2 linked regions of the Oryctolagus cuniculus genome follow. The protein of the gene in region 2 binds, or shares a complex with, the protein of the main gene of each other region. Links are inferred from orthologs where the notes say so. Each region holds a gene or a part of one and is shown on either strand. Other genes may lie near its edges.

Region 1 (7,768 bases), on a different chromosome or scaffold from region 2:
ACTACTCAGCCAATGTGATGGTGGACAGCAAGCCAGTGAACTTGGGGCTGTGGGATACAGCTGGCCAGGAGGACTACGACCGCCTGCGGCCGCTCTCCTACCCCCAGACGGTGTGCGGCCCCCACCTCCTCGCACGCCCGGCCTCCGCGCTCTGTCCCCTCTGCTTGGGATGCCCTTCCAGCCAGCCTGGCCTCCTGCAGGCCCCGCCGGAGGAGTTGGCCTTGCCCTTCCCAGGCAGAGCCAGGGACCCCCGCTCGTGTCCCCCCCAGCTCTGTGACCACAGCCCACTCTTCCCGGCCTCGGCCTCAGGGGCTCCGGCGTCACGGGGCCCTCATGTCCCCTGGGCTGCTCCAGTGGCTGCTGGGGGCGGGGGAGAGGCTGGGGAGACACCTGTGGGTGCCCCCTCACGAGCCCCCTTGCCCGCTCTGTCCCCAGGATGTCTTCCTCATCTGCTTCTCCCTTGTCAGCCCAGCCTCCTATGAGAACGTCCGTGCCAAGGTGAGGGCCGCAGAGCGATGGTCTGGCGGGGACCCGGGACGGGAGGCGGGGATCCCAGGGCTGGCGTGGGGGCTCAGGGGGCCCCGTGACTGGGCGTCTCCGAGGGTGGCTGGGCCGGGAACTTGGCCAGCTGCCTCCTCTAACCCTGTCTCTCTCCTCCCCTTGCACCTGCGTCCTCCAACCACACACCCCCTCCTCGCGCCTCTCCTTCCCATCTTCTCCCCAACCGCTGTCTCCGGGGTCTGCACGGCGCCACCCAGTGGTACCCTGAGGTGCGGCACCACTGCCCCAGCACGCCCATCATCCTGGTGGGCACCAAGCTGGACCTGCGGGACGACAAGGACACGATCGAGAAGCTGAAGGAGAAGAAGCTGGCGCCCATCACCTACCCGCAGGGGCTGGCGCTGGCCAAGGAGATCGGTAGGGGCTCAGGCTTGGGGCTGGGGTGGGGCGCGGGGGCTCAGCCTCGCCCCGGGCCAGGCTCCGGCGGTCAGCCCGGGCTGTGCCATACCTCTGCTCCATGACCATGTGCCCACTGCCGAGACCCTCTGCGCCTGTGTTTCCTGGCTCAGAGAGCAGGCGATGGTGACAGTGCCTACCTCGGCAGGAGGACTGAGCCCATACACACGAGGTGCCTGGCGGGCAGTACACGGTGGTGGTTAGTGGCCGTGGCACTGGAAGACAAGGGCAGAGAGAGGCAGGGATGGCATAGGCTGTTCTGGGGTTGTGTGGAGCCAAGGCAAGCTTGGGTTTTTCTGGGAAGGCTCCCTGGAGGAGGTGTCGCTGTCTGAGATTGGAAAGGTGACGCACGGCGTCTGCCCTACCCCCACCCCACCTCCCCCTTTTCAGCCCAGCTGCTCCTGCCCGCAGATGGCAGAGGGGAAGTGACATCCCAGGTCACACAGCGAGTAGGTGGCTGCTCTGTGGTTTGGAGGAGGGGCAGCGAATTACTGCAGGGGTGGGGGAGGGGTGGGGCGCTCCTCAGAGTGGCTCCCGCTGCGCCAGGGAGGTGACCACTGTGGGGCCGGCCTCTCCTGTGGTGCCTGGAGCCCGGGGCCACCTGGGCCTCTGGGCACTGCGCCCTCAGCCTCCCCACAGGGTCCCCCAGGGCTCCCCACCCCCACCCCTCCCTGCCTGGGCCCCATCGTGGCCTCAAGCCGGAACTGGCAGGGCCTCGATCCCTTCACAGGAAGAGAAACCGCAGTGCCGCCCGCCTTCCCCGTGACCGGCCTGGGACGCGGCCATCTTTCCAGCCCCCCCCAACCCCGACGCCCCAACCCTGGGTCCCCTGCCCCGTCCTAGGCCCCGCGGGGGCTGGGGGGTGCGGCCCCACCTTTCCTCCTTCCTGGCCAGCCTGTATGTGTCCCAGACGGCGGCTCTCAGCCTGGGCCTTGCTGGCTGTGTGACCCTGGGGTAGTGGTTTGCCCTCACTGGGCCTCCGTCTCCCCTCACGGGGACAGGACTTGGGGGTGCTTCTCTCCTGGAGCTGGCCCTGGGTGGGGCAGGGCAGGGCTATGGCCATGCTGTGACCTGGGCACCTTGGGCCTGGGGGAGGGCGGGGCCCTGCGGGACTAACCAGGAGGCAGCGGCTGCCTCTGTCCCCTCCCCCGGGGCTCCCCAGCCCCGGGATGACGAATTCTGGGGGCGGCTCTGCTCCCTGCTGCTGATCATGGCTGAATATGGCTGTTCCTGGGAGCTGGGCAGAAGGTTCTCCTACTCCATTCCTGCAGCAGTGACGCGGCGGGGGGGACTGTTAGCACCCCCACTTTACTGGAAAGGGGGGGGAAGGCGCTGGCTTCCGGCCGCACACCTAGGAGGTGGCAGGGTGCACATCCCAGCCCTGGGGACCAAACACTGGGGCCGCCCGGTGGAGGGGGGCCATCGCCCATCAAGAGTCCTGGAGACGGAGACTGAGGCCGGGCGGGTGGTGGTGGCCGGTGACCCAGCACGGGCACAGGTCACAGGCAGAGCCGTGGGCAGCCAGGCCCCCAGCTCAGGACCCTGGTGTTGGCCCAGCTGAGCCAGGCCGGGCAAGCAGTGGGGGTGGGTGTGAGGGAAGAGGCAGCTGCTGGTGGGTGTGGGAGGCGCGGAAGTGCTACGGGCCCCTACAGGAACACGCGGCCAAGTGCCGGTGGCCCCTCTAAGCCTGGGGGGTGATGACAAGGGGACCTGAGGGCTGGCTGTCCTTGCCAGACAGGAGTCCGGGGTGGGGGGGGCGCCGGCTCCCTCCAGTGTGAGACTTGGACGAGCGGCCCCACCCTTTCTTTCTCCCCAGCCCAGGCCTGGGGATGGGGGCTCCCCCTTGTCATCCCAACTCCCCCCTCCTAGCTGTGTGCATCTGGACATAGAGCTGGTGCCGACCCTGCTCTGTCCCCTGTGCCTGTGGGCTTCTCTGGGGGGCAAAGTTCCCCTCCCCTGCTCTCCCCTCCCCTCTTGTTCTCCCCTCCCCGCCCCTCCCCTGCACTCCCCTGCTCTCCCCTCCCTGCCCCGCCCCTCCCCTCCGCTTCCTCTGGGTCCTCTGCAGAGGCTTTGTGCTTCCTCACTTCGGGGAACTGTTGAGCTACAGCGGGCGGGGAAGTCACACAGGCTCCTTCCAGAAGGCCGTGGAGCACTGCCCTGCCCTGCCCGCGGTCGGCCCCGGGCTCCAGCCCTGCGCAGTCGTGAGAGCGATGCCATGTGTGGAGGAGCCCCCGCCCTCCAACTCCTGCCCCTCAGGTGGAGGGGAAGTGTGCTGTGAGGGCTTGGGTAATGTCCTCTGACGGCCTCGATTTCCTCATCTGTACAATGGGCGTGCTGGCTCTGCTCACCACCCCTCCTGCCGGGGAAGACAGACGTGGGGCAGGAGTTGATCTGCACTGCACAGAGCCAGGGGCAGGATCGGGGTGGGGACTCCCACAGCGTGTGTGTGTGGGGGGGTGCTGAGCAGGGTGTGGTCAGATCAGATTGGTCCACAGAGCGTGTGGCCTTCCTCTGATTGGTCGGTGACGAGTACCAGCTTGTATCTTTCTGGGAGAGTGGGCTGGGGTCTGTCCGGGTCTGGGGCAGGGGCCTGCTTTGTTAGATCAGAGCCTATGAGCTCCCGCACAGCCCTGGGTGTGGGGGCTGGCACCGGGGTCCTAACCCCGGGGGCATCTGAACCTTTGGTGTTCAGGGCCTTGGCCCTGGGCTGCCCCTGGCTGAACGCCTGGGCCACTCTTCCCAGAGCAGCTGAGGCTGGGCGGAGAGACTGGGGCAGGGTCCCCATCGGAGGCGAGTGGAGGAGCCCCAGAAACACAGCCCTGCTCTGGGGGCCTGCGCCTCTCCCGCTGAATCCAGGCTCCCGATTTCAGACGTGGGGAGACTGAGACGCAGGCCGCTCCGTTCCTTGCTCAGGGTGACACAGCTCCCAGGAGACCCTGTGGGGACTGGAACCCCGACGGCAGTCCCCACAGTCCTAGGGGTGGTGTGGCAGGGGATCTGCCCAGAGCCCCACCCCGAACCTACGCTTCCGCCCCCAGACTCGGTGAAATACCTGGAGTGCTCAGCCCTCACCCAGAGGGGCCTCAAAACCGTCTTCGACGAGGCCATCCGGGCCGTGCTGTGCCCCCAGCCCACACGGCAGCAGAAGCGCCCCTGCAGCATCCTGTAGGGTAAGACCCCCACCCTGCGCCTGCGCCCTACCCCCCTCCCAACACCTGGCAGGCTCAGGTGGCTGCGCATCCCAGCGGGCACAGCCGAGGGCCGGTATTGAGTGAGCCTCAGTTTCCCCAGCTTTCTTGTCCCCTGCCGGAGCCAGAGGTCAGCAGTGTCCTGTCGCCTGGCCCCCCAGTCCTGCAGGGGACGGTAGGGAGGACAGGAGGACAGTCAGGAACCCCATGGGCCCCAGGCGTGGTTGGGGGGGCGGCCATGAGAGGGGGCGGTGGGTGTGGTTGCAGGGGGAGGAGCAGCGAGCCTGCACTTTGCACACAGGCCCCGGGGCTGCAGGGCGCTGTGGGTTTTGCCCGCCCCCTGCTTCTCAGCGCCTGCCGTCTCCCTTCCAGACTGCGCCCAGCCCCGCCCCAGCTGGTCCTGACCCTCCCAGGGCCCCCAGCGAAGCCTGGCCCTGCCGTCCGCTCCTCGGGCGTCTTAGCAGATGGCTGCAGAGCTTGGCCGACCTGACCGTCCTCTCTCGCCGGACGCTCCCTGGGGCTCTGCGTCCCCGTCCCCCCGTGCTCCCTCCTTCCCAGGGGCCGGAGGGAGCCCCAGGCCTGCGCAGCCGCCCCCCGTGTCACTGCGGTCAGAGCCAGCTGCCACACAGGGCAGCACCTGCGCACTTCCGCCATTCCCAACGCCTGGACACCTGGGGCCCTGGCTGCTGGCCTCCACTTGTCCCCTCGAGGGACCAGGCACTTGCTGTCCCCTGCGCGGTCCGCTCTGATGCCAATGAGCTCCCTCGCCTGGCCTTTCTCTACCGAGCGAAAGCGAGTGTCTCCCAAGCCTGCTGCCCCCGTCTTAGTTCTCCCTGTTTTTGGACAACACAAGGCAAGTCGAGTTCTCCCAGCCCCCAGAGGTGTCGCCCACCGACCCCACGTGTTGGGAGTCGGGCTTCAGCGAACCTCTGCCCTCGCCCCCGACGACCCCCAGCGGCCTGCGCCTGTGAGAGTCTTCAGCGTTCACGCCCTCCCAGGCAGGACTTTGGCTAGTACCAAATTCAAGCTGCTTAAGCAGAAAATAAACTTAGGGATTAGAGTTTGGAAACGTGGTTTCAGGTGCGGCTTGATCCAGGGGACTCCGTGGACGTCATCAGGGTTGGTTTTCCCAGTGTCTCTCGCCTCTGTCTCCTGCCGGCTGTGGCAAGCGGCTCGCAAGGTTTCGTCCCTCCTGGTCCAAGTTCAGGCACAGAGAGCGAGCGGCTGTTCCAGGCAAAGTTCTGATGGAGGTTTACTCCGATTGGCCCAGCTTAGGTCTTAGGCCTTCCTCCCACCAACTGTGTCTGTCTTGGGGAGGCCATGTTCTGATTGGACCCCGCGCCAGGCTACTTCCTCAGCCAGGGTGGCAGTAAGCCCAGGCAAACCACAGGTGCTGGGTGGCGGCCGAGAGGGGGTTCAGGCAGCCAGGACCCAGCCCCCACTGCCACCGAGGGCCACGGGAGAGCGTCTGTCCCAGCAGGTGCAGGGCAGCAGGGCTGGCGCCAGCAGGCCCCAAGCGGAGGGCAGGTGCTGGAAGGAGAGGCGGGGCCTGCTGGGATGAGCTCCGCCTCCGCGTTAGCCCACGGCTGCTCTGCCCTCCGCACACTGCGTCCATTTGTCCCATACACACTCGGGTTTGCGGCCACCTCCTCTGAGCCGGGAGCTGCCCCCCGTGTGTGGGGGGTGCCCCAGCCTGGTGGCACCAGGCGGCAGCCATATGAGTGACAACGGACACCTTGCTCTGGGACGAATGAAAAGGAAACCACCTAATTTGTTTGGTCACTGCTAGCGGGCAGCATTTGTCACCGAGGCCTTGGGACTCCTGGCCCAGTGCTCCTCCCATCACACAGTTGTGCCCAGCAGCCCCTGGGTATCAGATGAGCCACTCCCGTTTGCTCTGCAGATGGGCAGAGGAGGCGCGGCCCCTCGGACAGGAAAAGGGAGACCGTGAGGGAAGTCAGTGAGCCCCTGCTTGGAAACAGGAAGAACCACTGGGTGCAGGCAGGCGCTGACCATCGGCGAACGCTGGCCCTGTCCCACGACAACGGCTCCCGGGCGCCCGCCTAGCACTAGGGGCTGCAGGCGTCAGACTTGGCATGGCCTGGCGGGCGGGGACTCTGCACCTGCAGCCGGCTCAACCTGGCTGTCCCCTGCAGAGCCCCAGCCCCGTCACGTCACTCATCCTTTCGCCCCGCTGGTCACTGGTCCTGGTGCCCCAGGCCCACTGCGGTTCCCTGACCTGGGCCTGGGGCAGTGGCCAGCTCTCCTACCAGCCCCTCCCGCCCCGCCTCCACCGGGCAGCCCCGGGGAACCTGCCCTCTTTTGCCATCAAAATTGTGCCACCCAGGAGGCTCGGACGAAGGGACTTCAGAAAGTGCGGAAAATGGAGTGAGAAGACGAGAAACCTGTGCAGATGAGAGCGTCTTCAAAACTCAAAGTTCGGAGGGGCCGGCGCTGTGGCGCAGCAGGTGCAGCCGCCGCCTGTGACGCCTGCGTCCCATACGGGGGCCGGTTCGGATCCCAGCTGCACCACTTCCTATCCAGCTCCCTGCTATGGCCTGGGAAAGCAGCGGAGGGTGGCCCAAGTCCTTAGGCCCCTGCGCCCACATGGGAGACAGGGTGCCTGAGAGACGGCGGGGGGGGGGGGGGAGTCAGCATGGGCCTGCTCCCGGGAACTCGATCCCCTGCGAGCCCTGCCCGGCTCCCCGGCTCTCCAGGACGCGCCTCAGCCTTGCGCACCGACCCCGGACACTCAGACTCAACCTCCCGGTGCCATTCTCGGCGCCTGTTCGCCTGGTGCTTTTCCTATGCAACCCGGCGGTGCCCCCCCCCCCCCGCGGTCCCACGCCCAGAGGCAGACCGCGGCCTGTGGCTCCCGTGCAGGCGCCCACACGGCATGGCGTGGCGGAGCCCACGGGACTGGGCCGTGAGTCCCCTGGAGGTGGGCTGGGGGTGTTTGCTGGATGCCAATGCGGGCGCCTCGTCTGGCTCTTGCCTTTGGCCAAGGAGTAGCCAGAGCGGCTGCGTGAAACCCAAGTCAGGGGTGGGGCTTGGTGCAGCCGTCCAGGCGCCCATGTTGGAGGGCCTGGGTTCGAGTTCTGGCTCCATGGCCAGCTCCAGCCTCCTGGAAAGCTCCCTGGAGGCGGCAGGTGATGAAGTACCGGGGTTCCTGCCACCCCAAGGAGACCGGATTGGGTTTCGGGCTCCTGGCTTCAGCCTGGGCCAGATCCAGCTGTTGCAGGCATTTGGGGGGAGGGGGCGAACTAGTGGGTGGGAGAACTCCCCCCCCCGCCTCTCAACAGTCGATGGAATTTACCCCCCACACAAGGAGACGGAAGCACTCCCTTGCAACCGAATCCAGCGGCTTCAGGACGCGACGAAGCCCCAGCTTACCCACAAGGCCCTGCGAGCCGCTGCCAGGGCCCCCGCGGAGCTCAGCTTGCGCCCTGGCAGAGCGCCAGCCACCAGGGCTGCTTCTAGCAGCTGCTTTGCCCCCAAACCCTTCCTGCCGCAGGGCCTTTGCTCAAGCTGTTTCCCCCACTCCAACACGTTCTGTCTCCAGCTCCCTCCACGATGGCCCTCTCTCTAGTCCCACAATCCCACACGGCAGGCACTCCCCTCCC
Region 2 (7,728 bases):
TTCTCATTCGAGGTTATTAACCACTCCTTTGTATCTGAGGCCTTGGGGAAGAGAATTACCATGTATCAAGCACCTATGATGTGCCAAAACTGAAGAAAGGCACTATATTCAAACTATTTCAGTTAATCCTCATAACAAACCTAAGGCAAGTATTACTACCCCAATTTTAAGAAGAGTAATAACTCAAAACAGGATGATTTGGCAACTCAAAGTATATTGACTAACGAAAATCTTTCTGTTTCAAGCAAGACAGCCTGTGCTTCAAATCTCAGTTTCAGCCTTTACTACTTTGATGGCCTCAGGCAAATTATATAACTTCCTGTGAACCTCAGTTTATTTAGCTGTAAAATAGGCATGACAATACCTCATGAAAAGTTTGTTTTACTAATCAATTGTCATGAGGTGTTAAAAAATGTTAAAAACAAAGAGTTCAAAAAAAGATATTAAAGTTCTCTTCATGCCCATGTTCAAGTGGAGAATAAATGATAGAAAGCAAATCTGCTTTTCTCCTGTTCACTGTTAGGACCAGTATTCCAGGAACCTGGATTTTAATCCCAGTTAAACTGTTACCTAGCCATGACACTATGAGAAATCACCTAACCAGTGTAAGTAGCAAATTCTCTTCACATGGAGAATTTGTCTTCAGTCTTCTACAAAGGAAGATGGATATCTGTGAAACCTACAATTGAAGAATGCCAGATTAGTAAACTACAGAGAGGGAAAAATGCCTTTGAGAGAAACTGAAACCGCTGGATTATGACTCAGTCTCATTGATAGATACTTTACTTTTTTATTTGAGAGGCAGAGATACAGGCAGATAGAGAAAGAAAGAAAACAAGGTGTGGGAGAGAGAAAGAGATTCCATCTGCTGCTTCACTCCTAAATGCTCACAATGATCAGGCTTGGGCAGGGCCAAAACTGGGAGCTGGGAAGAGAATCCAAGCCTCCCACTTGGGTGGCAGGAATCCAATTAAGAGAGTCATAATCACCACCTCCCCGTGTCCACATTAGCAGGAAGCTGGAGTCAGGAGCTAGAGCTGGGTATCGATGCACGTAGCAAATTCTGGTTATCAAACCTAGGCACTCCCACATGGAAAGCAGGCATATTAGCAGGCTTCTTAACTGCTCAGCCAAAGACTCACTCCAAGAGAATCTTTGTCTACACTGATTCCTCAGTGCTTAGAAATTATTTACCAAGGTCAAATTCATCAAGGAGGATTAGAATGCACACAGTGGTTTTCAAGGGATGCCTCTTCCCACCCTTCCCTTTTCATACTCATATCTTGGCCATCTCTAGACTTGGTTCTGAGCTGAAGGTTTGAACCATGAGCGTGTAATCCCCCTACCCCTAGTTTCTTGGAGTCCTATACCCACCAGGAAACTTCCCCAGGCCTGCCTTTGTGTGCAGGTGGTGTGAACAGTAAAAAAGGAAACCTGGTATCAAAAAGGATTCCCAATAAGGCAAACTTTCCCAAGCACGCATCCAGGTACTGTGTATCTATTACAGCATGTATCACAGGCTGCTTTAGATCGCCTGGGCTCCATTCCTAGGTAGTGGACTTACCAGCTGTGTGGCCTTGCCTACATATTTCACTGTTTTTAGTTTCAGATTCCTTGTGTGCAATACTGTTCCCAGTAAATGAGGATAGTGAGAGTATCTATATATTTTGGGGACTAAAAGAAATAGTTTATGTCAAATCGTTAGCACATAACCTGATGTAGAGCAAGTGCTCAATAGAAATTAGCAGCTACGTTTAATAGAGTAGAATGTTTGAAGTCAATATCCATGTATTTTTCCTGCTAGTATTCCCATGGTGCCTGAGACAGCTCCTCATACACGGTAGGCAACCAATAAATGCTTATTGGCTTAAGTTCTAACTGACTGAACAGCAGAAAACCCCTTTAAAGTGATTAACCAGTAAGTCCTCTATTTTGTGGGTTTGTCTAATTCAATAGTGACTAAGCCACAGGAGATATTGTTATAGACACCAGGAGCCTACCAGTGCTCTCCTCATGTTTTATACTCAAAGCTTGCTGTTTTTGTCAGGCTTGCTAAAATAACTGCATTATCAATACCAATTAGTTGGGTGTAAAAAACGAAAGTGCTGCTGAGTGGTTTTTATTGAACTGATACCTGCCATCCTTTCCCGCTCCCTCAGTGGGCAGGTTGGCCACTCCCCGGCAAGGTCACTGAGCTTCTTACAAGGCACCACATCTAAAAGAGAGACGTAAAGTCCCTGGCCTCAGGGTTTAAACACTCACTCAGCTCCATGGATGGCAAGACCAATGAAGAATATGACGAAGAGATGGTGTGTGTACCAAAACACTTCAAAGTAAGACCTCCGGATGATTTTGGTGGAGGATGTGATGATAAGTATGAGGCACAGTGTGATGATAATTCCAGTGACGCCTGCCAACCGCGTTACAGCCACTAACAGGCCTCCTTCAGGGTTCTGTAAAATATAAGCACATACACACACGCACATTATGGTCGGCTCTCAAAGCAGGAGTACCCTTTTATGAACTGCCCAGAATATATAGCAATAGGTATTTTCACTTCCCCTTAGGATAATCCTAACCATCCAGCACAGAGACATGGATTTGGAATAGGTATTCATTTTAAAATGTCTTATATGGTTAAGATGCCATAGTAAATATGAAGTGATACACTGAAGTATCAAATAAAAGAAATTAATTGACTATAAGGCGTAATGAAAGTGTCTGGAGCACTTTCTCCTTTGATTTGGGAGTGCTTTTTCACAGATGCATTCTGGGAACGCCTAGCATCTTAGCCTAGGTTCGCCAGAAGCAAGCCCTGAGATGAAGAATCATGGTAAAGCGATTTAGAACAAAACCTGCTCCACGAGAAACTGGTAAGGGAATGAGGAATGGGACAGGAAAGAGGAAAAAGTCAAGCCACATGGTGATCTCAGAAAAAGTTCCGCAGGCGCTAGCCTCAGCTGGATCCTGCAGAGGAACCCTGGAGAGTAAGGTCTGCCTCAGAGTTTATCTTGACTCAAAGCGAGGAATCTGTTTTCATGACTTGCACACGTGTATTACTGAAAAAGGGTTATCCAGGGAGAGGTAACCATACAGGCCCTTCTAGATCTATGAGCCTATGGCAAAGGACTTCAGTATCTCCAAGGCAGTCTTCTGAAGAAGGAATACAACTATAGATCATTGAAAACGAAAGCACTCAGAAGAGTGGAAGATGGGGCTGGCACTGTGGCGCAGTGGGTTTACGCCCTGGCCTGAAGTGCCAGCATCCCATATGGGTGCCGGTTCTAGTCCCAGCTGCTCCTCTTCTGATCCAGCTCTCTGCTATGGCCTGGGAAAGCAGTAGAAGATGGCCTAAATCCTTGGGCCCTTGCACCCACGTGGGAGACCCAGAAGAAGCTCCTGGCTCGTGGCTTAGGATCAGCTCAGCTCCGGCCATTGCGGCCATCTGGAGAGTGAACCAGCAAATGGAAGACCTCTCTCTCTCTACCTCTCTCTGTAACTCTGTCTTTCAAATAAATAAAAAAAAGAGAGAGAGAAAGAGGAAGAGCATAGATATAGTCAAAGTGATCGATGGAGATCTGAGCAGAGAGTGACAGTGTCTGCTCACCTTATTATGTTCATATCACCAATCTTATGTGTCATTTGGCAAACGATGAACAATGTAAAAGAAAATTATCCAAAATATTGCGGGAAAAGAATTTCTGTTTTGTTTGATTTTGTCCTTAAGTAGATTAGGCAAATTTTTCCCATGTCAGTCTGAGTATAATAAATTCTTTCACAAAATGAGTCTTCTATTATGAACTTTTCTTTTTTAAAAAAGAAAGATTTGCTTATTTATTTGAAAGGCAGAGTTACAGAGAGACAGGGAGAGACAGAGAGAGATCTTCCATCCGCTGGTTCACTCCCCAGATGGCTGCAATGGCCAGTGGTGGGCGAGGCCAAAGCCAGGAGCCAGGAGCTGCTTCTGGGTCTCCCACGTGGGTGCAGGGTCCCAGACACTTAGGCCATCCTCCTCTGCTTTCACAGGTCATTAGCAGTGAGCTGGATCCGAAGTGGAGCAGCCAGGAGATGAACTGGCGCCCACATGGCATGCTGGCATCACAGGCAGCGGCTTTTACCCGCTATGCCACAATGCCAGCCCCTTATGATCTTTTCTAAGTACAAGAAAACATGTTTGGAACTCAATATGATTGAGCCATCTTCCCAAGCCTTTGAGCACATGACTGTGACTTTGAGTTTCTCTGAGTGTAGGAAGCTTCAGCAACTGCAGGGAGGGAAGAAGTCCTTGCCTCTGGATAACCTCATGACTGCCCTTGAGACCTGTTATGTCACTCCCAGGGCACCAGGCTTCTCGAGGCATAATAAATGGTGGGCCACCACTCAGATGTTGTGGAAGAAAGAACACAGCACCACTGACAGCTGCCAGTTGGTGGCTGGCCTGACGCTAACACCAGGCCAGGGGTGTTCCCTACTTCACATACATAATTTCATAAAACACCAACCTCAGACTAGGTCATGCTCTGACTGTGATGGAATGCAATAAACACAAGACCACTTTGAAATCATGTCTGAGCTCAGACCAAAACACAGGTAACTCCTGCCTCTTTACATATTAAAGATTTAGCCTCATTCTCTTCCTTGTGCCTCCTAGGGAAATATATTAAGCTACCTGGTCCTAGAACTATACCCAATTACTAATAATAAACAATCTAGAGAAAATCTTTGTTTTCCTAATCTCTCCTTCAAACCATCTAATTTAAGACTAAATCTATGGGGCCAGTGCTGTGGCACAGCAGGTAAGGCCTCCGTCTGCATTACCGGCCATCCCATATGAGTGCTGGTTCCTGTCCTGGCCGCTCCACTTCCAATCCAGCTCCCTGCTAATGCGCCTGAGAAAGCAGCAGAAGATGACCCAAGTGCTTGGACCCTTTGCACCCATGTGGGAGACCAGAAGAAGCTCCTGGCTCCTGGCTTTGGCCTGGCCCAGTGCTGGCCATTGCTACCATTTGGGGAGTGAACCAGCAGATGCAAGATCTCTCTCTCTGTATCTCTTCTTTTATAACTGTCTCTCTATAACTCTGCCTTTCAAATAAATAAATCTTTAAAACAAAAAAGAAAACTAAATCTCACAGCAAATTCCTCTTAACACCCCATGAGATGCCCCAGACTTGCTCATAGTGTGAACTTTCATTTGTTGTAGTAGTAATAAATCAAATTTTGTTTGACTAAAAACATAATCCTGGCTTTTCTGACTGGTAGGAATGGCCATGAGAGAGCCTGAGTTACTACAGGCTCCAAAGGCACACATTCTCACAGGTGAGTTTAAGGAACTGGGAAACATCTACAGATCTTCCATACATGGCATCAGGAAAGTGGTAGACATTCTCTCTGTATTCACATTCTTATAACCTACAGACTTGTCCTGATGATTGGCCAACTTTTGTTGTGGTTCTAGCCATATCCTGACCTTCACTCACTGAAATCTAGTCCTCAGCTTTAACTGCTTAGGGAACAATTGAATCAGGAAATGAATAGCTTACCTTGATTCTCTCTCGAACAAAATTGAGGTAAGTTTCATTCTTTTTGTCCCCAATTTCAGAGAGTGCTATCGAGTAACTATCAGAATTGTTGACTCGGGCATTCACACACCACTCCACATTGAATAGATGTGCAATTGTGTGAATCGCTAAAGAGGGCAAAAAAGAGAAACAAAGAAAGTGAAGGGTATGCAGAAATGTATTGTAAGCTGCTTTTCCAGCCACTGCCTCTGATTGAATGATGTCACAGGGAGAAACAGGGGTGGCCCAGGGCACTTATAAACAAGAACAGGATCCCCAGAATCAGCAAAGCAAGGCTATTCTAGTAGGTAAGTACCTGCCCAATTGTATTTTTACTGTGAGAAAATCACTTAAACTCTCTGGTCTCAGTTTCATCATTTGTAAAATGAAGATCTTGAACTATATGCACCTTAGACCTAATCAAGTCCTAAGATTCTAAAAACTAGCGTTGGTCTCTCAGGATGGTGCTTTTCACTGTCTCTTCCTAATATAGTTGCGCTCAAACATTCTTGAGCTCTCATAAACCTAATAGCTGACCAATTCATCTGACTCTGAAATCACTGATAAATGTGATTGAATTGATGTAAGCCAATGGCCACAAGTGTGATTCCCTTAAAAAACAAACTGCATTCTTTATTCTAACATACACATGCATAGGGCTTACTAGGTGTCAAGTATTGTTATAAGTGCTTTACAATTACTTCACTTGTAATTCACTCAATGATGTAGGTGCTATTTAGTGTCAGCTCATCTTGGAGATGAGGGAACGGAGACATCCATTTATTTAAAAGTTTGGCCAATGTCACCAATCTAGGAAGTAACAGAGTTAGGAGCCAAATCCAAGCAGTTTGGCACACAAATCTGCGATACTAACCAGTAAACTATGCTACTTTCTAACAAGATTTTGTCACATTTCTTTTGAACTATTTCATTCACCCCATCTCAGAAAGCCTACATGATCTAGTAGGAACAGAAGAACCCATTAAGATCTGTAATCCAAGTTTATTTTACTTGGATTAGGAATAAACTCTGAGGTAGAGTAAAAGTCTGTTGTGATCATTGCTGTGCGCATCTATTGTCCGCCACATGAATTATTTATTAAGTAATTGGTAGACACTGGATAAGGGCCCAGATACACACCTTTTTGCACTTATACCACTAGCCTAATGATTATTATATATATACACTCATATATGTATAATGTTTATATATAATATCATCATCATCGTCATCACCACCACAATGAAGATATTTAGCTGCTAAGAACTATCTAAAGGGATTCTCAATTTTTTGGCTCCTATAGGTTTACTGCAGAAAATCCACAGATCCACGTGTGCAACCATTTGGTGGAATGAATAAAAGCTCTCATATGTATGCTAACAAACATTTGTTATGTTAAAAGTAATGGAAAAAAATGAGGATGATTGGATTGACTTTTCCCATGACACATTTTCATTTGTATAGGCAGATCCTAAGATGTTAAAGTTTTAAGACCTTGAGAAATAAATCCTAATATTGGAATGACAAAAAGAGCAGTAAATACTTTAACAGAACTCTGAAAGAATTGATATCTTGCAAAAAAAGTCACTTAAGAATGAAGAGATATTTCTGGTTCAAAGTTTCCTTCACAATTTCAAATATTTCAATAAACTTACCAGAATGAAGTGCAATCATCCACGCCACCATTTTATGAAAAGTGAGATTTCTGTCCAGTTGTCTTCGAATTCTTGTTGAGCAGCACTTCGGAGTAATGGAGAAAGAAAAATAAGAATTATTAACAAGAAATCCTTCTGTGTACTAGATATTTGATGAGCATCATCTCATTTAACTCTCACGACCACCCTAAAAACTTGACCACACTATTTGAAAGATGATGGAACTGAGCTCAGAGAGTTGTAACCAACTTCCTCAGGTCAAACAATTAAGCAACATAGCCAACTTCATCAGCTTGTTTTTTGTTTTCATATCAGTGCCATGAAGTCTCTCCTGAAATCCACTGTTTAATGGTGTAAAAAGAATTTGGAAAGTGAACATATCTAACCACATAGTTTCTTGTACCAATTAATTTATTCAACAAATAGGAAATATGGAAATTTATACAGGACAGCTCTTCCTCACATACCTGACAGTCTAATTGAGGAACAGTTCTAGAACAAGTGGAAAGTTCCCA

What was found. Proteins that work in one complex are often made in the same cells at the same time.
Region 1: CYBB (region 2) and RAC2 share a complex: the UniProt entries of both Homo sapiens proteins name them as parts of the phagocyte NADPH oxidase complex. The link is inferred for Oryctolagus cuniculus from reciprocal best matches to the Homo sapiens genes CYBB and RAC2.

What each region holds. Positions count from the first base shown.
Region 1 is NC_091442.1:114,245,204-114,252,971, reverse strand, and holds the end of RAC2 (ras-related C3 botulinum toxin substrate 2), read left to right. Parts: coding exon 1-110; intron 111-435; coding exon 436-498; intron 499-758; coding exon 759-918; intron 919-3,995; coding exon 3,996-4,126; 3' UTR 4,127-4,127; intron 4,128-4,517; 3' UTR 4,518-5,214; downstream 5,215-7,768. UniProt on the Homo sapiens protein: Plasma membrane-associated small GTPase which cycles between an active GTP-bound and inactive GDP-bound state.
Region 2 is NC_091453.1:23,803,516-23,811,243, reverse strand, and holds part of CYBB (cytochrome b-245 heavy chain), read right to left. Parts: intron 7,299-7,728; coding exon 7,214-7,298; intron 5,687-7,213; coding exon 5,541-5,686; intron 2,454-5,540; coding exon 2,263-2,453; intron 1-2,262. UniProt on the Homo sapiens protein: Catalytic subunit of the phagocyte NADPH oxidase complex that mediates the transfer of electrons from cytosolic NADPH to O2 to produce the superoxide anion (O2(-)).